Linked DNA regions of Rhinolophus ferrumequinum. The protein of the gene in region 3 interacts with the protein of the main gene of each other region in a biochemical or structural test. Links are inferred from orthologs where the notes say so. Each region holds a gene or a part of one and is shown on either strand. Other genes may lie near its edges. The genes, in order: PINK1, UXT and FBXO7.

The links.
Region 1: the proteins of FBXO7 (region 3) and PINK1 form a complex in vitro, tested with the Homo sapiens proteins (2 studies listed by BioGRID, with this or other methods). The link is inferred for Rhinolophus ferrumequinum from reciprocal best matches to the Homo sapiens genes FBXO7 and PINK1.
Region 2: of the proteins of FBXO7 (region 3) and UXT, one has a biochemical effect on the other in vitro, tested with the Homo sapiens proteins (2 studies listed by BioGRID). The link is inferred for Rhinolophus ferrumequinum from reciprocal best matches to the Homo sapiens genes FBXO7 and UXT.

The regions. Positions count from the first base shown.
Region 1 is NC_046292.1:13,915,625-13,922,581, reverse strand, and holds the start of PINK1 (serine/threonine-protein kinase PINK1, mitochondrial), read right to left. Parts: upstream 3,064-6,957; 5' UTR 3,020-3,063; coding exon 2,624-3,019; intron 1-2,623. UniProt on the Homo sapiens protein: Serine/threonine-protein kinase which acts as a sensor of mitochondrial damage and protects against mitochondrial dysfunction during cellular stress.
Region 2 is NC_046284.1:86,243,415-86,251,316, reverse strand, and holds the start of UXT (protein UXT), read right to left. Parts: upstream 3,050-7,902; 5' UTR 3,035-3,049; intron 1-3,034. UniProt on the Homo sapiens protein: Involved in gene transcription regulation. Acts in concert with the corepressor URI1 to regulate androgen receptor AR-mediated transcription. Together with URI1, associates with chromatin to the NKX3-1 promoter region.
Region 3 is NC_046293.1:13,034,788-13,042,087, forward strand, and holds the start of FBXO7 (F-box only protein 7), read right to left. Parts: upstream 3,009-7,300; 5' UTR 2,088-3,008; coding exon 1,966-2,087; intron 1,862-1,965; exon of another isoform or gene 1,773-1,861; coding exon of another isoform or gene 1,736-1,772; intron 1-1,735. UniProt on the Homo sapiens protein: Substrate recognition component of a SCF (SKP1-CUL1-F-box protein) E3 ubiquitin-protein ligase complex which mediates the ubiquitination and subsequent proteasomal degradation of target proteins and plays a role in several biological processes such as cell cycle, cell proliferation, or maintenance of chromosome stability.

The DNA.
Region 1 (6,957 bases), on a different chromosome or scaffold from region 3:
AAGGACGGTTCAGTTGTGTATACTATTTTGCTGTTATGAATGATGCTATGATTTCTGTACAGGGTTTTAAACCATTTTTTAAGAACTGTGGTAAAATATACATAACATAAAACTGACCATTAAAACCATTTTTAAGTGCACAGTTCAGTGGCATTAAGTACATTCACATTGTTGTACAACCATCACCACCATCCAGCTCCAGAACATTTTTCATCTTGCAAATCTCAAATTCAATACCCATTAACCCGTAACTCCCCAGCCCTTCTCCTTCCAGCTCCTGGCGGCCCCCATTTTACTTTATGTCTCTATGCATTTGACAACTCTAAGTACCGCAGATGAGCGGAAGCCTGAGACTGTGTCTTTTTGTGTCTGGCTTATTTCACTTAGCATATTGTCCCCAAGGTTCATCCATGTTGTAGCATATGTCGGAATTTCCTTCCTTTTTAAGGTGAATATTACATTGTATGTATATTCCACATTTGCTTATTTATCCATCCATTGATGCACACGTGGGTTGCTTCCACCTTCTGACTATTCTGAATAATGCTGCTATGAACACAGGTGTACAAATACCTGTTCAAATCCCTGCTCTCAATTCTTTGGGGTGTACGCCCAGAAGTGAAATTGCTGGATCATATGATAATTTCATTTTTAATTTCTGGGGGAACTACCACACTGTTTTAGATAGCAGCAAGTTGTGTACAGGTTTTTGTGTGAATACAAGTTTTTATTTCTCTGGGTAAACGCCCAAGACTGCAATGGCTGGGTCATATGGTACTGCATGTTTAATTTTGTAAAAATCTGCTCATTATTTTCCAGAGTTGTTGTACCATTTTATATTCTCACCAGCAGTCCAGTTTCTCTGCATCTTCACCAGCATTTGGTATTATCACTATTTTTTTTTTTAAATTTTAGCTGTCCTAATAAGTATGCAGTGATATCACATTGTGTTTTCAATCTGCATTTCCCTAATGGCATTCCCTGATGCTGAATATCTTTTCATATACTTATTTGGCATCTGTATCTCCTCTTGGTGAAATACACACTCATGTCTTTTGCCTATTTTATAACTGGATTGTTGTTTTTTTTTTCCCCACATGCCTCCATCTAAAAGGAGTAGCCTTTCTTTTACTTTGTCTGGTCTGACACCATATGGAATTTTAGCATTAGAGTTGCCAGCGCTGGTGATTATTTTCAAAAGTGGAACACCTGAATTTTTAATATTAATCATCAACTAATTAAACATTTTAAGACACAGTAGGGTAAAATGTAAGAAAAGGATGTACAGATAATAAGCTCAGAAGGACCAAGCTCCTCAGTTAAAAAAAAAAAAAAGCCTCCATAATTCTAAGCAGGATTATCAAATTTCCCACCTTTGGCTTCTGCCAGTTAAGCTGTAGCAAAAGACAAGGACAGTGGCTGGGGACTAGGTCAGATGTCACCTGTCGTCCCAAACTAGCCTGAGCTCAAACATGAGACATTCTGGCTGAGTAACAAGAACTGGGCTGGAAACCAGGAAACATGCTTGGTCCTTAACCAGAGGTGTCCTTGGGCAAGTGACTCCATCTTCCACCACCTCAGCCCTAAATTGTCAATTGTAGGGGTTGTACTAACAGTGGCTCCAAACCCCAGGAAGAAGGCTGAACTCCCAAAAAGAGGAGAGAATTCTGCCAGCATGTGGCTTTCACACTTGAACTACAACAATGGCTCTTCCCTGGGTCTCCATCCTGCCTACCTACCCAAACGATTTTTGGGAGACTTGCCAGCCTCCAGAATTGCAGAGCCAACTCCTTAAAATAAACCTCTTTTTCTATAAACACATCCTATTGGTTCTGTATCTCTAGAGAACGCTGACTAATACAGATTTTGGTAGAGGAGAAACAGAGAGAGGTCTCTGGGCTATTTTAAGCATTTAAAAGAGCCTAATAACATATTCACTCTCTCCTAATAACGCTCACAGGTTGACTAAAAACTGTTAGGTGTGCTATTTTCTCCTGCTGTTCATGGTTTTACTTTGATTTCAGCTGTGTCACTAATTGTTTGGCTAAACTGTGGAGGCAGACTGGCTCAGTGGTTAAGGGTACAGGCCTTGGAGAGTCAGACTTTGGGCACTGCTCTTTATTAGCTGTGTGACTTCGGGCAAGTTACTTCACCTCTCTGAGTACGTTTCCTCATCCATAAATTGGGGATGACCACTACCTCAGGGATAGAAGCGTTGTGACTTGTCATTAAATTTTACAAAATTTACGCAGAGTCATTAGCAATGGTGCAACAGGAGCTGTAATTAGCAGCATTATCTTCCAAAACGTGCTGTTTGAGGAAGGGAAGACAGTAAAACAAATGGGAGGTGCTGGCCCCATACCAGGAGATCAGTTAACACCGAAAATGAGCCTTAATCGGTGATTTGCAAGGAATTTCCGGGTCTGACAAGGATAAATATTGATCCAGGGCCCCCGTCAGTCAATGCCCCCAGCCCCGCCCCTCGCCACGCCCACACCCTAGCACCGCCCCTCACAACGCTCAAGCCCCGGCTCACATCCCCAGCCCCGTCCCCCATCGACTTAAAGTCCCGCTCCTAGCGTGACACTGGGCTCCATCCTCGCTGTCCGCGGCCAGTGCTCACCTGGATCTCCTGACAGGCCGAGGCCGCCCGCCGGCCCTCCGCCTGCTTCTCCTCGACGAGGCCCAGCCCCAGCCCGAAGGCCAGAAAGACGGCCCGGCCGCAAGGGCCCGCGCCGCCCCGGGCCCGCACCACGAACTGCCGCTGGAGCCGCGCCGCCAGCCCGGCCACCGACTGGCGGAAGAAGCGGTAGCGGTCGGGGAGCCCGAGCCCGAGCCTGTGCGGCTCCGCGCCGGGTCCCGCGGCCTGGCCCGGGCGCTCTCCGCGGCCCCAGGCCGCCGCGGGGCCCGGCCGCTCTGGCCGCCCCCAGCCGTAGACCGGGCCAGGCTTGGCCGTGAAACGCAGCAGCAGCGCCCGACCCAGCTGCAGGCCCCGACCCAGCGCCTGTCGCACCGCCATAGTAGCGCCGCGACCAAGTGCACCAGCAGCCGCAGGCGTCGGGGACGCCGGTCACAACAAGAAACTTTGGGGCGGTGCCTCTGCGCAGGCGCGGAGGCCGATGGGCGGGGTCGCCGATCTGGCGGTTCCCTGGCTGGGCGCGCGGGGGCGCTGTGCGCGCACCTGGCTGCGGGTAGTTGCTTGCCCTTTTGCACTTTGGACCCAGGGTGGAGGGGTTGCGTGTCAGGCAGGTCCAGATTGTGAACAGTCGAGAAGTTGAGAAGGAAAACTAATGTTTATTGAGTATCACCCGTGGTGCCAGAGTCTTTACAACTGTTAATTTATTTAATATTCCCACCAAGAAGATAGGAATATCATTTTTATAGGTAAGGAAACTGACTCATAGAAAGGGCAGTGACAATCAGGTGACATTCAAGTTCATTTGCCATAACTATTGAGTCCTTACTCTCCCCAATGCCTTTAAGCTCCTCTCTACAAACGCACAGCCCCTGCTCACTTCTTAGTACTCCAAGAGAAATCCCACCCAAAGGCGACATTTTTCAGATGAACGACATTTTTCAGATGAGTGAGCTGAATTCCGGAGACATGGAAGGATTTGCCCAGTCACAGCTTGTTGGTGGCAGAGCCCTGTTACCCAAACCCACTGTTAGAAATGCTGATGAAAGGATTTATAATGAGTGATTTCTTTTTTTCTTGCCTTTTTAAAAAAAATTTTTATTGGGGAATATTGGGGAACAGTGTGTTTCTCCAGGGCCCATCAGCTTCAAATAGTTGTCCTTTAATCTAGTTGTGGAGGACACAGCCCAGCTCCAAGTCCAGTCGCGGTTTTTAATCTTAGTTGCAGGGGGCGCAGCCCACCATCCCATGCGGGAATTGAACTGGCAACCTTGTTGTTAAGAGCTCACGCTCTAACCAACTGAGCCATCCAGCCGCCCGTTTCTTGCCTTTTTTTAAAAACGGAAAATTTCAAACACAAAAATAGTATAGTGAACCCTATGTACACATTCACCTGCTTCAACAAATTATCAACAAACGGTCATTAGTTTATTTATCTATACTGTTAAAGAAAAGAAAAAACAGGTCCCACATGGTATCACTGATGCTAAAAGCCCATGATACCAAACCCATATTTAATACCAGATCTAATTGCAGTTTCGACTTCTCCCAGAAACATAATCAACCAATATGGAATTTTCTGGTCAAGCCCCAATAAGGTAACATACTTGTAAGCCCTCTCCATTGGGACAATCTACATAATAAAACCCTTCACTTTCCCACAGAAAAGATGTCCCTGTCACAAAATAATCCTTTTCTTCCATTATTAGCTTCCTTGCCCCACTCCGCTTCCTGTAAAAATTTTCCATTTTATACAACTCTTGGGAGCACTCTCTTCTAGTTACTGGAGGGGATGTTGCCTGATTCATGAATCACTTAATAAAGTCAATTAGATCTTCAGATTTACTTGGTTGAATTTTGTTTTTTAACAATACCTTTCTACTACCCCCCCTTACTTTAAAGCAAATCCCAGATGTATTATTTCATTTATAAACATTTCGGTATCTACGAGCACCTAAAAGATAAGAACTATTTTTAAAAATCATAAACAGTGTCACCTCTAAAAGATTAACATTAATTCCATAATATTAGTTACTATCCTGTTGATATTCAGTTTCACATCTCTTGCTTCCTCTTTAAATACTAAATCGAAGTACATGTAGATGGTAGCTGTTGCTGGAGGAAGTCTTCGATCATCTGAAGAGTTCTGGCCCCCCAGGCTTGCTTGGTCATATGGTGGATCCCTGGCTAGGGACAGGTGGACAACTGATTCAACAGTGTATGTGTATGTGTTCTGATTGCTCTCATGGGGAGAAATTGCAGGGCCCTTGTGATATCCAATGACATTTATTTGGGAGAGACATAAATAGATAAATAAATCAATTTCTTTCCAATTTATTTACAGATATGGACAAAAAAGAGGGCACACACTAAACCTGACGAGCTCAGGGGAGGCCAGCATGGCAGGCCTTACAAACTCAAAGACTGAAAGTAACTACACAGGATGGGCTGAATATAAAAATTCCTAATAAAAGCTAGGCATGATGGGTAGTCATGTCCTATGCCTGTAGTTTCCTTGACAAAAAGGTCAATCTTTACCTTAAGTGAGCCTGTCTATTGTCTTTTTGCACCTAAGATAACGAGCCCTTGGAATGTCAGTGTACTCTCCTTTTCCAGACCCCTCAGACCAGAGCAAGAGACCCACAGAACACCTCACTGTTATCTTGTTCCCCGAATACCATCTCTATGTGCTATAACTGTTCATTATGAACTATCCTGTACCCACCAATGTAAAAGAAGTATGTCTCTCTGTTTTACTTTTTATCCAATCCCAGAGACTTCCCTGCTTTGCTTTCTCCCGCCCCCTTAATCTACCACCAATGGATTTCATGTAACCCTCTTTACGTCTCCTCCTTTGATTCTAATGTATAAAATAAAGCTGCAAAACTGCCATTCTCCAGAGCATTTTCTCAATCCGTTGAGATTTTGCTTCCTGGCAATTGTTGTCAGTTTGGCCCAAATAAACTCATAAAAATTCTCTACAGATTTGGACGTTTCATATGTTGACACAGAGGCACGTGGAAATCAGATATTGTCTTTAATTTTTTTTTGGTTGATCTCAGGGAATTTTAAATTACAGTTTAAAATGCTCTGTTGAAATTGTCCTTTAGAGAAAGATATGAAAGAGAGGATCAGAGAAACTTCACTGTCTAGAAAGAAATTCAGTTGGGGCAAAGGACTCGTTTAAAGTTTAAGTCTATTCATCTGCTATGTGTCATTATCAGTACAGCACTTTAGTGTTTACTGAGAGGGAACAAGAGATCTTCTAAGACCTTTAGTTTTAACTACGAGAATTTTCTTTCCTAGGAATGTAACATTTTGCCATGAGGCTAGAGATAACTACATAGCTGGTACTGTAAGGGTGAAACTTGGGAATCAATAACACAGATTTATCTAGTTTGCAGTTTGGATCTCCTCATAGTTCGCTATTTAGCCTCCTGATATTCAGCTGTTTTCTCTTTGGTTTTTGCCCTCACTGCCTGATTTAATAACTCTGCTCTGTTCCCTTTCTGAAGACTATACATACCTTGTTGATCTAATTAATCAGCAGAACATTAACCTGGAAAGAACAATTTCTCAATTTTCTGCCGCCTGGACACCGGGATCCATGGTTGCAACTCCCTTGCAATTTTTGCTGATGATGCACGAAACACTCCAGCCCCGGCTACTGATTTCGAGATAATATTATGAAGCAGACCAGTCCATGGGAGGCGATTTCTCAGACCAGGCCCTGGGAGGCAATTTCTCAACTGTCAGCCCTGAAACATTTACATGACCAACTCCCACTTTTCTTTGTTCTTTCCCCCACCCGCCTGCTTGATTATAAAACCTCTTGATTATTCTCAGTTCCGAAAAGGTGTTTTTTTTTCTGGACGTTTGTCTGCCTTCTTCGCTAGCTGCCGGCATCTAGAATAAAGTACGCTTTTCTTCTCATCAACCGTTGTCATTCAGGTTCTTGGTGTTGACAAGCAGTGCCGGGCCTGAGTCTGGTAATAGTAAGACATATTACCTAAAGGGACATTGTATTAGTTGTTTTAAGTTCAAGAGTGCATTGGTTATCAACCTTTGGATTTAGTCCTCTAAGCTGCAAATACACTTGCCAGACCTGTGATGCTTAACCCACCCACCTGTGGAAATCAAATCTCCAGACCATTGTAGGCTGTGTAGTTTCTTGTTCAACAGAGAATGCTGGACTTTGGTCAAGATGGCACTAGACTGGTTCACTTCTTCTGTAGAAAACTCTAAGTTGTTTGGACAGATCTGAACCAAGCACAGCATGAAGCTGGATTCTTCAGCAGCCATCTGGCTGGAAGCAAAGAGTC
Region 2 (7,902 bases), on a different chromosome or scaffold from region 3:
CATGCTCCTAACTCCAAAGGCTGCCGGTTCGATTCCCACATGGGCCAGTGTGCTCTCAACCACAATGTTGCCATTCAATGTTGCCAGTTCAATTTCTTGAGTCCTGCAAGGGATGGTGGGCTCCGCCCCCTGCAACTAAAATTGAAAACGGCACCTTGAACTGAGCTGCTGCTGAGCTCCCAGATGGCTCAGTTGGTTGGAACGCACCCTCTCAACCACAAGGTTGCCCGTTCGACTCCCACAAGGGATGGTGAGCTGAGCCCCCTGCAACTAGCAACAGCAACTGGACCTGGAGCTGAGCTGCACCCTCCACAACTAAGATTGAAAGGACAACTTGACTTGGAAAAAAGTCCTGGAAGTACACTGTTCCCCAATAAAGTCCTGTACCCCTTCCCCAATAAAAAAAAAAAATCTTTAAAAAAATCTTAAAAAAAATACATATATAGTTCTAATACAAAGAAGCAGTTATCTGCAGATTATTTTGTCTTATAGATGCAAAGATCTTAAATAAAATATTAGCAATTTGAATCCAGCTAGTATGAAAATAAAAATTTATCCCAAGACCAAATTGGGTTTTCCAGTAAGACAAAGGTGGTTAATGTTAGTACAATTATCAATTTATGTATTACATCAACAAATTATGGAGAAAAACAACACAATTGTATCGATGTATATGAAAAAAGAGGTATTTGACACAATTCAGCAGTAATTCTCAAATGAAAACAAGGCTAGAAAGAAACTATGAAAATTCAGCCAAGATCATAGTCTGGAGATAATCAGGAAGCATAACATTAGAAGGTAAAATGCTGAAGACGTTTCCATTAAAACTAGCAACAACATTGGGTTGCTCCCCTCACAACAGTGTTTTCAAAGCTCTAGCTAATGACATTAAATATGAAGATGAAATAAACTGGCTAAATACTGAGAAGGGGGAGAAAATCATTTTTATTTGCTGGTGACATCATTGTATAGTCAGAAACCTAGCACAGGGAATTTTGATAAGGTGGTAGGGTACAAGAAAATAAATACAGCAGATTGAAACAGAAAAGGGAAAAAATATCCTATTTCCAATAAGGACAATAAACACAGAATACCTAAAAATGAACACAAGAACGATGCTCGACTTAAAATAAGAAAACTAATAGTTATTCTATAATATAACGCAAAATGTAAGTACATGGAGAGACAGACCATATCCCTGGATAGGAATATAGTAAAAACAAAAATATCACTGCTTCGATGTTAACTCTATTGAAGTAATGAAGTGTCCATCAGAATTCCAATTCTTTTTCAACTTGGTAAAACAATTTCAAACTCTATATGGAAGTATAAATAGCCAAGAAGATTATGTAAGGGAATACTGAGAGGGTGCTGGGACTAGCAGATATTAAGCTAACAATGAAAACTAATGCAATCAAAACAGGGATAAATAGGCTAGTGAAATATAAGAAAATGTCCAGAAATTGATCTTAATATGTATGGGAATAGATATGACACTAGTAATACTCAATGAGGGAGACCAGGAAAGTTTATCATGTAAAAGCCAAGGGAGAGAGGAGGAATGCACAAAGGATATGAAAATGCACAGAAGGAATCCAAACGCCCAATTAACTGGAAAAGATGCTCAACCTCACTTAATAGGTGGAAAAAGTAAAACAGAAAAACTATATATAATTATTCAGCCCTCAAATGATAAAAAATGAAAAAGAACAACATCATCCAGTGCTGGAGAGGATTTGGGAAAATGGGTTATTTATACATTTCTGGTGGAATATTTATTATACATTCATGTATATATACACATATATGTATTATATGTATTATATGCATTATATGCATACATGTAATATATATATAACATTTTTGAGAGTCATTAGCAATGTCTATTTAAAAAAATATGCACACTGAGGGTTGCTAGATGGGAGGGGGGGTGGGGATAAGAGGGAAGGTGAGGGGATTAGAAAGTACCATCAGTAACCATAAGATTGCCACGGGGATACGAAAGTCAATTTGGGGAATGTAATCAATAATGTTGTAAAGATTTTGTAGGGTATCCGATGGACACTTGTCTCATTAGGGAGACCACCTCAGGGATGATGTAGATGCCTGATCACTGCACTGTACACCTGAAACTGAAGCTAAACAATAATGAATGTCAACTACAATTTTATATATATATATATATATATATATATATATATATATATATATATATATATTTACAAGAGAGCAGAGTACAGCATTAGGAACAGAGACAGTGGAAATGTCATGGCTGTGTGCGATGTCAGAGGGTTAGTTGATGGGGGAGGGAGGTTGTCACTGTGTGGGATATAAATGATAAATTTCTAACTATTACTTTGTTTTATGCACCTGAAACTAATAAAAATAAATTAATTAATTAATGATAAAAATATGCACATCTGTACCTAATAATAAGGTTCAAGTACAACAAAAGTTGACACAAGCAAAGAGAAATGCACAAATCACCATCACGCTGCTCTATACAGAACGAGTAAGTGAAAAAAAAATCAGAGAGCGTATACAAATTTTGAACACAATTCACAGTTGGAGAACACATTCTTTTTTTTTTTTTCTTTTGAGAACACATTCTTTTGACGCGATAGATGGAGCATTCATGGAAAGATACAAAGGACTTTGCCACTCGGCAAGTCTCCACAGATTTCAAGGAATGTTCATGACACAATTCACTTATCTGACCACTGAGAAATCAGATTAGAAATCAATATCAGTAGTACTGTTTATTGCAAACAGAAATGCGCTTCAAAATGACACGTGTGAAATGAAAAAATCTTAACTGAAATTTAAAAATACTTAGACATGAGAAATAACGATAATACAATACAACATATCTTTTGGGTCTTAGATGGAAATGTATGGTCCTAATGCTTTAATTAGAAAAAGAAAGGCTGACTAATAATTAGCTGAGCATCCGATATAAAAGACCCCATCACTGAAACCACAGAAGTCCCACCATCGACCCAGATCCTGGCCCCCATCACTCAGCCCACAGTACCTGGGTAGCCAACCACTTCAAAATTACCGCAGCACGGCTCAGGCGCTAGCACCTGGGTCCTGAGAAACGCTTCCCTTTCGAGTTCTGACCTCTAACGCCAGGGTGTCTACCTGGCGGGAGACTGGGTGTCTGATGCGCACGCTCAAAAGTACCTGCGAAGTTGAGTTGCGCAATCATCAGGGCGCAGTCACCGGCGTCTGCCATAGTTCTCTTGCCATCCGCTGCTTTTTTGAGATCGGAATATGGCTGCACCCAAGCGGCGCTGCTCTGTGGGCACTGCCATCTTGGACAGGTGTGCCAGCCGTACAGTGGAAGAAGCCGTTGCCTCCTGCCTCACGCTGCAGAACAGTGGGGCTGCCCTGAGAAGAGGTAGCCTGCCCTTCTTTGGGTAAATTTCCTGGTGGACAGGCATTTTTGGAGTTAGGCTCTGGAACTCAACTTCTAGAGCCTAATTCCAAAAAAATATACACACCTGTACCTAATAACAAGGCACAGGGTTGAGGGGGAGCCCTTACTATGAAAAGAGGAAGAGTAGAGTCTGGGAGATACCACTGGAGGAGAGGGGAGAAATGTCACGATGGAACCTCCCCCCCACTTGGGCGATACTATGGAGTGTTCTTGAAGGGATGCTGTAGGAGCGGTAAGGTCCGGGTCCTGGGAGATACCATGAGGAGAGAGGGCACAGAAGTAGGAGTGGTAGCGTCCAGTCCCACTGAGCTGAGGCAGGGGAATGAGGACCTAAACCTGCCCATAATCTCAATCAGCCCCCACAGTAGCCAGGTCGACCCAACTGAAGTGATAACAGGTATCAATAAAAATAAGGGGGGGGGGTGATAGAAGGGAGTAAAGGAGGTCAACTATATGGTGATAGAATGAGAACTGACTCGGTGGTGAGCACACAATGTGATATATAGATGACGTATTATAGAATTGTACACTTGAAACCTATGTAATTTTACTAACCATTGTCAACCAATAAATGTAATTAAAAAATAAATTAAAAAAATAAAAATACGTTTTAAATTGATAGGGCCAATGGTTGTTTTCTCTAATGTAATGTGTCACTAAAAGCATCTTCTAGGATACTTTATTATTTATAGTTCCTTGTAAAGTAAAATCTAAGTAACGATTATGCAAATACTGCATTAGGACAAATTTCCAACTCTGCCCCACAACGAGTTTGCTGCTCCTTAGCACCTCAAATATGGAAATTATGGAGATGCCATTGCCCCTCTGGAAGATGTCACAGGAACAATCCAGTGTATCCCTTCAATGGATGAACTGCTACATAATCTTAAAACCCAGCCCACACACCTCCAATGTGAAGCCCTCGTTGACTGATAGGAGAGTCCATGCCAGCTGAAGGCCCCTCTGACCCAGCAGGTGATGAAAGATTCTTGAAAGGACCTGGTCCTGAGTTCTGGTGTCCTCTATCTTTGTGCCCTTAGACCAATCACAGGCTTTTGGGCCTCAGTTCAACATTCTGGACAGTAGAGGGCTGGACTCTGATTACCGAACAGTCCTCTGACTCTCCCACAGCCTTGGATTGGATAATTTTTTGTTGAGTGAACAAATAAAAGAAGAAATTGAATCTGTGGAAGCTTGCTAGCACACATTCATGTCTAAAAACATTTCCAGCATTATCGTTAATTTTGTTGGGTTGATGATGGTACTGTGGTTATATTAAAAGAAGAAGGAGGAGAGAAAGAAATAGAAAAGGGAAGAAAAGCACCTTCATATGTTAGAGATTTATACCTAAGTATATGGGTGAAATGATATGAAGCCTGTCCAGGATGCAGGACAATCAGTGGTAGAGTATAAATGGATAACGGGAGACACTGATCTTCCCATTTAAAGTGGCAGTCCCCCAGAATTTCCAATTTATGTCACTGCCCTATCCACCCTCCTTCAGCAGTTATCCCCTTTTAACAAATATTGTTTATTAGCTCTCCTCCACTAGGATGCCGGGTCCACAAGTTAGAGGTTTGGGGGCTCTTTTGTTTTACTAAACATTAAGTACCAAGGGCATTGACTGGTGATCAATAAATATTTGATGAAGGAACAAATAGAGTCTTATATACTTATAAGTTCTTCATCTATTTAGCATTTCCTGAATTACTGATGCCAAATCAATTTTATAATTAGTTGTGTCATCCAGAGATGGATGCTTGCCGAGTCTTTTGGAGGGAATTACTAATCTTTTAGGAAAATGAATCCTGTGTGTGTGTGTGTGTGTGTGTGTGTGTGCGTGTTTTGACGCTCTCTGTAAGTGTGGTAAAGATACCAAAAACAAAGCAGTTGATTACTCCACATATGTGAGAAGCAGAAATCATTGTATTATCAGCACGAACAAACAAATGAGTAAACAGTAAATAAATAAGATAATTTCTGATAAAAAGGAAGGCTATGAAGAAAACTAAGGCATGGCAAGGCGCTACAGTGGTGGGGTAGGTCAGGGAAGAAAGACATGTGAAGAAAAGACATTTGAACAGATATGTGAGTGGCATGATGGAGTGAGCCATGGAACCAGAACATATGAGGTGTGATAAAAAACTATGGTGAATGTTTAAATAAAATGTATTACAGTAAGAGACACATTGCAATTAATCCCCCTCAAAATATTCCCTCTCACTTCGAACACACTTATCCCATCATTCTTGCCACTTTCTGAAGCGGTTCTGGAAGTCTGTCGTATCTTTAGTTGTGCTGCCGTGGCTTCCTTGATACCCTGAATTGATTCAAAAACGTTTACCTTTCATGGTCATTTTGACTTTGGGGAAGAGCCAGATCATGGTCAGTGCAACATAACCATAAACTAATTTTAACATTTTGTGTGTTTCTTTAGCACTTTTTTTGCAGTTTGAAACAAAATTCCATGCGTTGTTCATGATCAATGATTTACGGCACACTTTAAAACACACCTCTCAACTGTAGCTCATACCCCACTGACTGCACCGAACAAGTTGAAACTTGTCACACACTGTTACTAAGGTTTGACGCGCCACTTCTGGTATTGAAGATCGCTGCCTTTTTGTTGGATGGCACTTGGCAGCAGCATTCACCGTATTGTTTGATCATACCTCGTATATGGCAGGGGCCTCAGTAAATGTCAAGACCATAAAGCTCTTGTCTCCCTGCTCATCCTACCACTAGGTGGCATTTCTGGTCTGTGACTAAAGATTTCCTTGCCCCATTCAAGGAAAGGACAACACTTTTCTCCGTACAGACTTTCTCTTCTTATATTAAGATATTTATGTGACAAACGGTTGAATTTTCCCAATTAATTGAAATATTTAGTTAGTTTTAATAATATAATTAGCACGTATGCACCTATCACCTAAAAGAAAAGGCCTTGACAATAGCCTCCATCTATTCGTGTGGTCCCCCAATTCATTGCCCTGCCTCCCCTCAACTGAGGTAAACATCATTCTGAATCCCAAGTTCATTAATTTTTAAATTTCCTTTTTATATAATTTTATTTCCTCTACACAAAATACTAAGTAGTGCATGTTCTTTATACTAATAACGTTTAATTTTATAGAAGTGTGTATGCTTTATATAATCTTTCAGGAATTACAGGATTTTTCCCCTTAATGCTCATCCATATTGTTCTAGTTCATTCATTTTAACTCCTGTTGATGAGCATACATTTTTGTTTCCAGGTTTTGCTGTTGTGAACAGGATGCCATGCATACACTAGGTTTCATGTGCAAGTGTTCCTCTTGGATATATTCCTAAGAGTGGACTGGCCAGATTGTAAGGTATATAAATATTCACTGTACGAGGGAATGCCAAATATTTTCTAAAGTGGTTTCACTGATTTACATTCCTTAAACAGGGCAGAAAGATCCCGTGGGTGCACACCCTCTCCAATACTTGGTATTGTCAGACTTAAATTTTTGCAAATTGAATGGGTGTAAAATGTCACAACATGTCTTGATTTGCATTTCTTGGATCACTAATGGCTTTGAACATCTCTTCATATATTTATTGGCTCTGCCTTCCCTTCTTTTCTGAAATGGTCTAAAAGATAGACCTATCTTTTTTTTTTTAAACATAACCTAGTAGTTTTATGACACTCAACAACAGTAACAATGATTCCTGGCACTCTATTAGAAGTGTATGCATGCCAAGTGTGCTTCCACTGATTCCATTTCTTCTTTCATGTGTTTATTCAACAAACACCCAGAGCAGGGCTATAGGGTTAGAAAGAGAATCTGGGATAATTACAGACCAACACTCTAAGAAAGCAAAAATTAGCTCGGACTGTAAAAACCTGCCCTGCCATTCATCAGACTGGGAGAACAGATATAAAGCCAGATACAAAATTAACAGGAAACATTATTTCTCCTAAGGACATGCTGCAACTGTAATGCCATAAAGAACTCCTACTATGAGTGACTACTGCTCTCTTAGTTACTGAGAAACTTTGTTCTCTACAATTACAGACTACTATCAGAAACTGCTGTCTGAAATGTACTAATGAGGCATCCCACTGTTGCTGGAGATTCTAAGCCACTTAGGTCAAAAAGAAGCAGCCATGATTTCCAACACTGGTGCAGAGATAAGGGGTATCTAGCTACAATATTCTACATCTATCTTAACTTTATTGTTTCCAAGGAAGCAGGACTCTGGGTTCACTTTGCAGTACACATATAGCCTGGTTTGCTTTGAGCTTATCAAAACACTGCTTTATTTACATTTCATCTGAACTTCACCATTCCTCAGAATCATATAACTCTAAACTCTATCTTTTCCTTTGTTTACTGAGCCACCCCATGTTCCTCTGGTGTGTGGTCTCCCTTATTGACGGATGAATCTGTCAAACTACAAATTAGTCCCAGATGGTCTTAGCCTGATTGGAGCAG
Region 3 (7,300 bases):
AGTGTCTTTGGTTGAAAAATTACTGAGGTTTTAGAAACTATTCCTGCTTATTAGAAAATAAGTAGCTACATGCTCCTATTTTCAAACGCTTTGATAAATGTTGAAATCTGCCAGCTGCCCAGAAAAATACCACCCCAACTTTGGTAGAAAAAAAGAGAAACACCTCAAATGAACTACGTGTTTATGGATCATTTGTCACAGCAAAAGGTTGTGTTTTTTTTAATACAACGTTCATTCAAATATCTATTTATAGAAAAAGTAAAGAATTGTCTGCTTAATAAAAATGTCAAGCCTTCCTCCCTATAGAAAAAGGGAAGAGCTATTTCTAAAATAATACATGGTTTTCCAGGAGAGGCTTTAAAAAAAAGTTTTCTGAAATTGTGGGGGAAAAAAAGAAAAAGAAACTTGTTCATCAGGAAATAAAATATTTTTTAAAATATTTTACGGCAACCCCAGATCTACTTGCTCAGCAAAGACATTTTAAAAATAATGTCACATGGACATTTTAAAACTGACCATTTATCATAAAATGAACATACTTCAGAAGAGTGAATTTCCTTTCACAAGCTGAAGTTTATATTCTTTCCAGTTAACCACCCTCAATGGTAAAAACAAACCTGAAAGAGAAACTAACTGGGGCCCTTGGGTAAACAAAGCGTCATTGGGTTTCACATGCTTTCGAGCCTAATTAAATAACAAAATATATACACATGTAGATTAAAATACCTTAAAAAGAGAAGTTAATTCTGAAAAATTGTGGAAGGGTAGTGATGCCAGCATGCAAAACAACTTAGGTTTAACACCAAGGAATAACAATAGGTATGTCACTTAATATAATGTTTAAAGGGGTTATGTCAATACCGCATTTTGTTTTTATTTCTCGTAATTTGGAAAAAAAAATGAGGCTTATTTTTAATGTAATAATGCCTTAATCTGAAAAATGAATGGGTGAGAAGTTCATAATATGGCTCATTTTATTGAATTTCCTAAAAATAAAATTTTAGTTTGTAAAAGTCTTATAAAAAGAGCCACTTAAATAACAAAGGTTTTCTTGTGAAGAATTCACCTAAAAAACCCCAGCGAACATCTTTTTTATTCTTTCCTTAGTACAAAATTCCAAATTTCTAGCTCCGTATTTGAAGAGGGCCACCGTTACTTTTGCCCCTCTATTCCCAGAATATTGTCCCCAGAAAATACCCTGTGGAAACAAAGCAGCCTCATCTGCAGCCCCATAAATGAATAACAGAATTTGATCCTTTACTTCTTAATGTCACTGCTCCCAAACTGCAAACTCTCCAGAGTCATCATAAGGCCTGCGTTTGCCTTAGTTTTAGCTAAAAGCAGCATCTCGCCCAGGATAATCATATGATTTGAGACACGCCGACGCGCCGCACTTTGTAAAACTTTGCGGCGGGTAAGTCAAAGTGGGCACCGCGGCGCCTGGCACGTAAACGTTCAATGGAGTCTTAAGATTACTGCAGCCTCACAGCGGCGGCACAAGTTTCAGATGGCCTCGGAGGGAGGGCCGATTGCGAACTCCTCCTAATACTTCCCAAACTTTTCAACTAACTACCCCATCAGCTGGAGTTGGTGAATTTAAACCCCTGAGAGCCTGGAAAGGTTTAACCCAAACCAAATCCATAATTTCCAACTTTACATTGGAAAGGGCGGAACGGTGTCGCGTGCTAGCCTACTCCTGGGTTCTGTTACTGCCAGAACGGAAGCGACGGCTCACCCTGGAGGGGCACGGAGCCCCCGCGACGCTGGGCCATGTTCTCCGCGAGCCGGGACCCCAGCGCCGCTCTCCGCCCGGTCTGTGTGCGTCACAGTCCCGGGGCGTCAGACCCGCGACGCGGCGGCCACTGCCCGCCGCACGTGACGGCCAGGCCCGCGCCCGCCGGCACGCCTCCCGCAGCCCGAGGCGCGCCAGCGCCTCTCCGCCGTGCGCCCGCCGCAGCCGCTTACCTGTACCCCCAGGTGGGCAGCAGGGCCTCGCTCAAGTGCTCACGCAGCTGCCCCAGCGTGGGCTCCGTTTCGGGCATCTCCAGCGGCCAGGTCTGCTTCTGAAGCCGCACCCGCAGCTTCATGGCGGCGGCGGCGGCGGGGCCCAAGGGCCTGGACCCGGAGGTGGCGACGGTGACGGCGGCGCGGCCGGACAGCTCCCGTCTCAAGCGGCGGCGGCGCCGAAACGGCGACTACCGGTGCTGGAGGGGTGCTGAGGGGTAACGGGGAGAAGGCCCCGCCGCGGCGGCCGCGCTGCGGGCGGGTCTCTTGAAGCGGAGCACTCGGCCCCTCTCCTGAGGGCGCCCTCTGGAGCTCACCCCGCGAGCGGGCGGCTGGCGTCCTGCCCGGAGCCAGGGTGCTCGGGAACTTGACGATCGATGACTCGGCGCTCAACGGCGCCACCTGGGAGCTCGAGGAGCGCGCTGCGCAGGCGCCGAGCCTGCCGCGGGCTGCGGGTGTCACGCGAGGTTCTTGCACGCCTTGGCTGTGCCCATGCCTTCCAGGTGTACCTGGAGAATGGTAGCGCTGAGAGGGATGCTGCAGACGACACACCTCGCCTCTCCGCCAGGTTAAGGTGTGCCTGGTTCTTAGCCCAGTTCTGCCGCGGCGCTCAGTTCCTGCGGCATCTGCTCTGAGAAGCCTAAGGTTGAGTTCAGGCTCTGGTCATTTGCTCCTGTTACAGCAAAATGTGAACCAGCTTGTGATCAGTGATCTACGTGTGTCGGAGAGTGTGTTAGTATCCTGTTGCCGCATAGCAATCGCCCCAAAGCTTAACAGCTGAAAACCACATGTGTTTACTGCCCCATAGTTTTTACAGGTGAGGAATTTGGGCCTGGCTTAGCAGGGTGGTTCTGACTTGGCCTCATGAGATTACAGTCAAGATGTAGGCCAAGTTTGCAGTCATCTGAAGTGTTGAGTGGGACTGGAGCATCTACTCCCAAGATGGCTCACTCACGACTGTTGGCAGGAGAGGTTAGTTATTCACCGCATGGACCTCCGTGTAAGGCCACTTGAGTGTCCCCATGACATAGCATCTGGCTTCCCTCAGAGCAAGTGACCCCAGAGAGACTACGGCAGAAGCCACAACGTCTTTTATGATCTAGCCTCAGAGGTCACATACCATCATTTCTGTCATATTCTACTGATCACAAACCAAGCCTTCAGTGTGGGAGGATCAACCCTAAGGCATGAATCCCAGTCAATAGTCAGGGATCACAGGGTGCCATCTGGGAGGCTGGCTACCATATAGGACCTGACAATAATGACGACGATGATAGCTTAGGTGAGGGGAAAAGTATCCAAAATTTATCCCTGTATTGTCCAAATCTTAAGAGTTGAATAAAGTTTCTCCCAATAGGTGGCGGTACTTGCCCACATCCTGATTCATTAAAGAAATGTATTGATCACCTTTGTGCCAGATATTATCCCAGGTGCTGGGGACTCAAAGATTGAAAAGACATGTTCCTACTGGTACAGTTTACAATTGAGTGAATCAACTCTTGCAGTAGAGTGTAATAAGTGTCTTTGTTTATGAAAGAGAGAAGAGAAAGTCCTAGGGATTAAAAGATATTGAGGAGCTTTGCTGTGCCAGTAGGGTTCTTTAGTGGCAAACAATATGGGATTGAGGAAAGGGGGCAGGATCAGGGTGTCTCGGTGTGGCCAGGGTAAAGGACAGAGTGAGTACATCCCCAGATACAAAATAGCCTTGGACTAAGCGAAGGATTTGGGACACATTCTAGAATGTATGGGAAGCTATTGGAGAGTTTTAAGTAGGGGCGTCTTTATCTAGCAGGGGTCTTAGTTCTAAGCAATAGAAGTTAAACCGGTCACTAAGCCAGAAAAGAGCATGTTAAAATGATACCAGATAGCTCAGGAAATTCCGGGGAGGACTGGAGAAGTGGCTCCAGGCTAAGCTTCCAGGAATGAAGCTCAGAACCATGCTGAAGAACTGGCCTGATGAGGAAATTACCATGACTGGGATCGCTGCTGCCACCCCACCCCACCCCGCACTGGAGGAAACTGCTGCCATTGCTATCACCCCTGGGGAATGGCTGCCACCTTCAAATGCCACACACTTTTGCAGCCTCCTGCACCAACAAAATGCCAAGTTTCCAAAAGAGCCTTTTTCCTCAGCTTACTCACTTCTAAATCAAAGGTTCATAGGGCTACATCTGATTGAGAAAGACCAAGTCCCATGCCTGAGTCCTGGCTGCAAAGGAGACTGGAAATTGAGGCCCAAACTACTTTCCTGGGGAAGTGGAACGTAAAATATTGGAATTTCCCAAAATATAAGAAGGCTGTTCAAAAGATGGTAGGAAGCCATGCGTCTGACAGGTGTACACTACAAGGAGCATGGGTCAGATCTGAAACGTGAACCTATCACGGATAGAGTGTGGAGGACATATTAGATCAAGATTTCTCAGTACTACTGGCATTTGAGGCCTCATAAGTTTTTGTCATGGAGGATTATTCTGCACCTTGTAGGATGTTTAGCAGTATCGCTGGTCTCTATTCACAAAATGCCTGTAGAACCCCCATCGCCCAGTTGTGAGAAGCAAAGATGTCTCTAAACTTTGCCAAATATCCCCTAGGAGGCAAAATTGCCTTGAGAACCACTGGATTAGAGACCAGCTCAGTTAGGAGGCTCTTTTGGAAACAGAAAAAGAAAGAAATGAGTGGAATGACAGTGGGAACGGAGAGAATGGGAGGGACAGGAATGATGTTACAGAGGTAGAAATAATAGAACTTGAAAATGACTATGTTTTGAGGTTGTATTAGTTAGAATGCAGCTTCGGTGCTCTCACAGAGATCTGAAATAATAGTGACCTAAACAAATGTAAGTTTATTTCTCTCTGAAATAACATTCTTGGAGAAAGCAGTACAAGGTTGACATGGTGGCCCTCTTTGGAGACCGTCTACCACAGTCCACCTCTTAATACTATGCAAACCTGGATAAGTTACTATCTATAAAAATGAAAAAGTAACAAAAATATTTTAGACAGCTGTGTTGGAAAGCTTCAGTGAGATAAGCCACTACGTTTGTGGTCATTTGTTCCAACAATAGAAAACGAATCCACCTGGGATCATTGTCTCAATCCTTTGCCCAGTAGACTGTAAACACCGGGATCGCAGAAGTAATCCAATCACAGGAGAGCAGGAAGATCCTAGAAGGGAGCCAGAGCATTCCCAAGAAACTGCCAGGATTTAAGGTACTCTGGAGGACTAGCCTCCAAAACTTCAAAAGTCCATGAACATGTTACACACCCCTTCTCTCAACCGTCTCCCTCCTTGAGATTTTTTTTTTCTTTTTTGCAGGATGTCATCTTAATGTCTGCAAGCAACAGGCACTACAACTTTCAAAGAGCTCAGAAGTTTAAATTCCTTTTTTTAACAGACCGTTTCATAGAATACCACAAAAGGACAATATCAATGTTCTGTGGGCCTCCATTCATTGGCTCCCTGGATGCTTTTTAGAACAGTTTTTGAGTTAAAGAATTATTGTGAAGACATATACCACATACCCAATTTTCCCTATTATTAACAGATTAGTATGGTACATTTGTCATAATCAAGGAACCAATATTAACATATTTTTATTAACTGAAGTCCATATTTTGTTCAGATTGCCTTAGTTTTTAACCTAATGTCCCTTTTCTGTTCTGGGATCCTATCAAGGATACCACATTACATTTAATTGTCATGTTTCTTTAGGCTCCTCTTGGTTGTGACAGTTTCTTAGATTTTCCTTGTATTTTATGACCTTGACAGTTTTAAGGATTCATGTTCAGGTAGTTTGTAAAATGGTCCTCAATTGGGATGTGTCTGATATTTTCTCATGATGTGGCTGAGGGAATGAGCTCCTGGGAGGACATCCATTGTAGTAAAGAGCTGTTCCGATCACATCATATCAACAGTACATACTATCAATGTGGCTTCTCACTGTTGGTGAGAACCCCGACCACTTGGCTTCTCCACTGTAAAGTTACTCCTTTTTTCTCCTTTTCATATCGTACCCATTGGAAATATTGGAAAATAGCCACTATGTGCAGCCCACACATGAAGAGTAGGAGTTATGCTCCATCTCCTTAGGGGTGAAGCCTCTACATAAGTGATTTGAATTTCTTCAGCACAAGAGATTTATCTATTCTCTATTTATTCAATCATTGTTTATATCATTTTTAATTGGGTTGTTTGTTTTCTTAGCTTGAGTTTCCTTTAGTTTTCTGGATAGAAGTCAGTTTCGGCGCTTGACAAAAACCCTTCATAATCCAGCTGGAAACCACTTTCTTTAATCTGCCCAGTGACCCTTACAGTCTGTTTGCACTGCACTACTTCAGAATGCCTCCCCCTCCCCCTTGTATCTTCTCCCACCAAGTGGATTTGCATGCCTCTGAGCTTGTGCAGTGCCAACCCTTCTATCTGGAACCCCTTTCCTTTCCTTTTTCTAAGCAGAGTGTGTTTCTCCTTCCTTTTGCTCCAAGAGCACTGGGAACATACTTTTCCATGTTGCCCATCAATCACTGTGCAATTATTTGTACACCAGGTTTTCTTGAATCCTAGATTATGAGTTTCTCAAGGGGAAAGGGCGGGTCTCAATCTATCTTCAACAACCCTCAACCCCCACGTCCAGTGTCAGGACTGGTAAAGCAAGATTTAAAGTGATACATTCATGCTTGTCTCTGAGTTCTTAATATATCTGTTTGGAAAAGTAAGACCCTCCTTCTGTCTCTACCAGGGAAAGTCAGGTTGGCCTTAGTTTGGGTGTTCTCTTACAAATCCAATTCATTTTTTTGATTCTGAGCTTGTATCTACATACCAACAGTTTATAGTCTTTAATCTTAGAATCACCTGGAGAGCATTTTAAAAGAGAGATTGCTCAGTCCTACTTCCAGAGTTTCTAATTTAACAGGCTTGAGAATTTGCATTTTAATGATTTCTAGGTAATGCTACTGTGAAACCTTTGGAAACCACTTGTCTATACCATGTTGTCTTGCTGTGGTTATTCGGGGCTTTTTTTGTTGTTGTTTTTTTTAACACTGATAAAAAGACTTTGAGGTACCTATGCTTGGTGATAAATTGAAATGGGCTTTCAAAAATGTTGTGACTTGAAATTAGAACCATAACTTAGAAAGAGAATCTTCAGAAGTTGTTGAAGTGATTAAAATCCAATCCATGGACCAAATGAAGATATCTGGAACCTATTTGAAGAAATAAATAAAACTATTCTTGGAAAGCAAACTAAAAGGTGGCATAGGAGACAGAGATGAAGTCAGAGGGAACGTTAAGACTGTCTCAC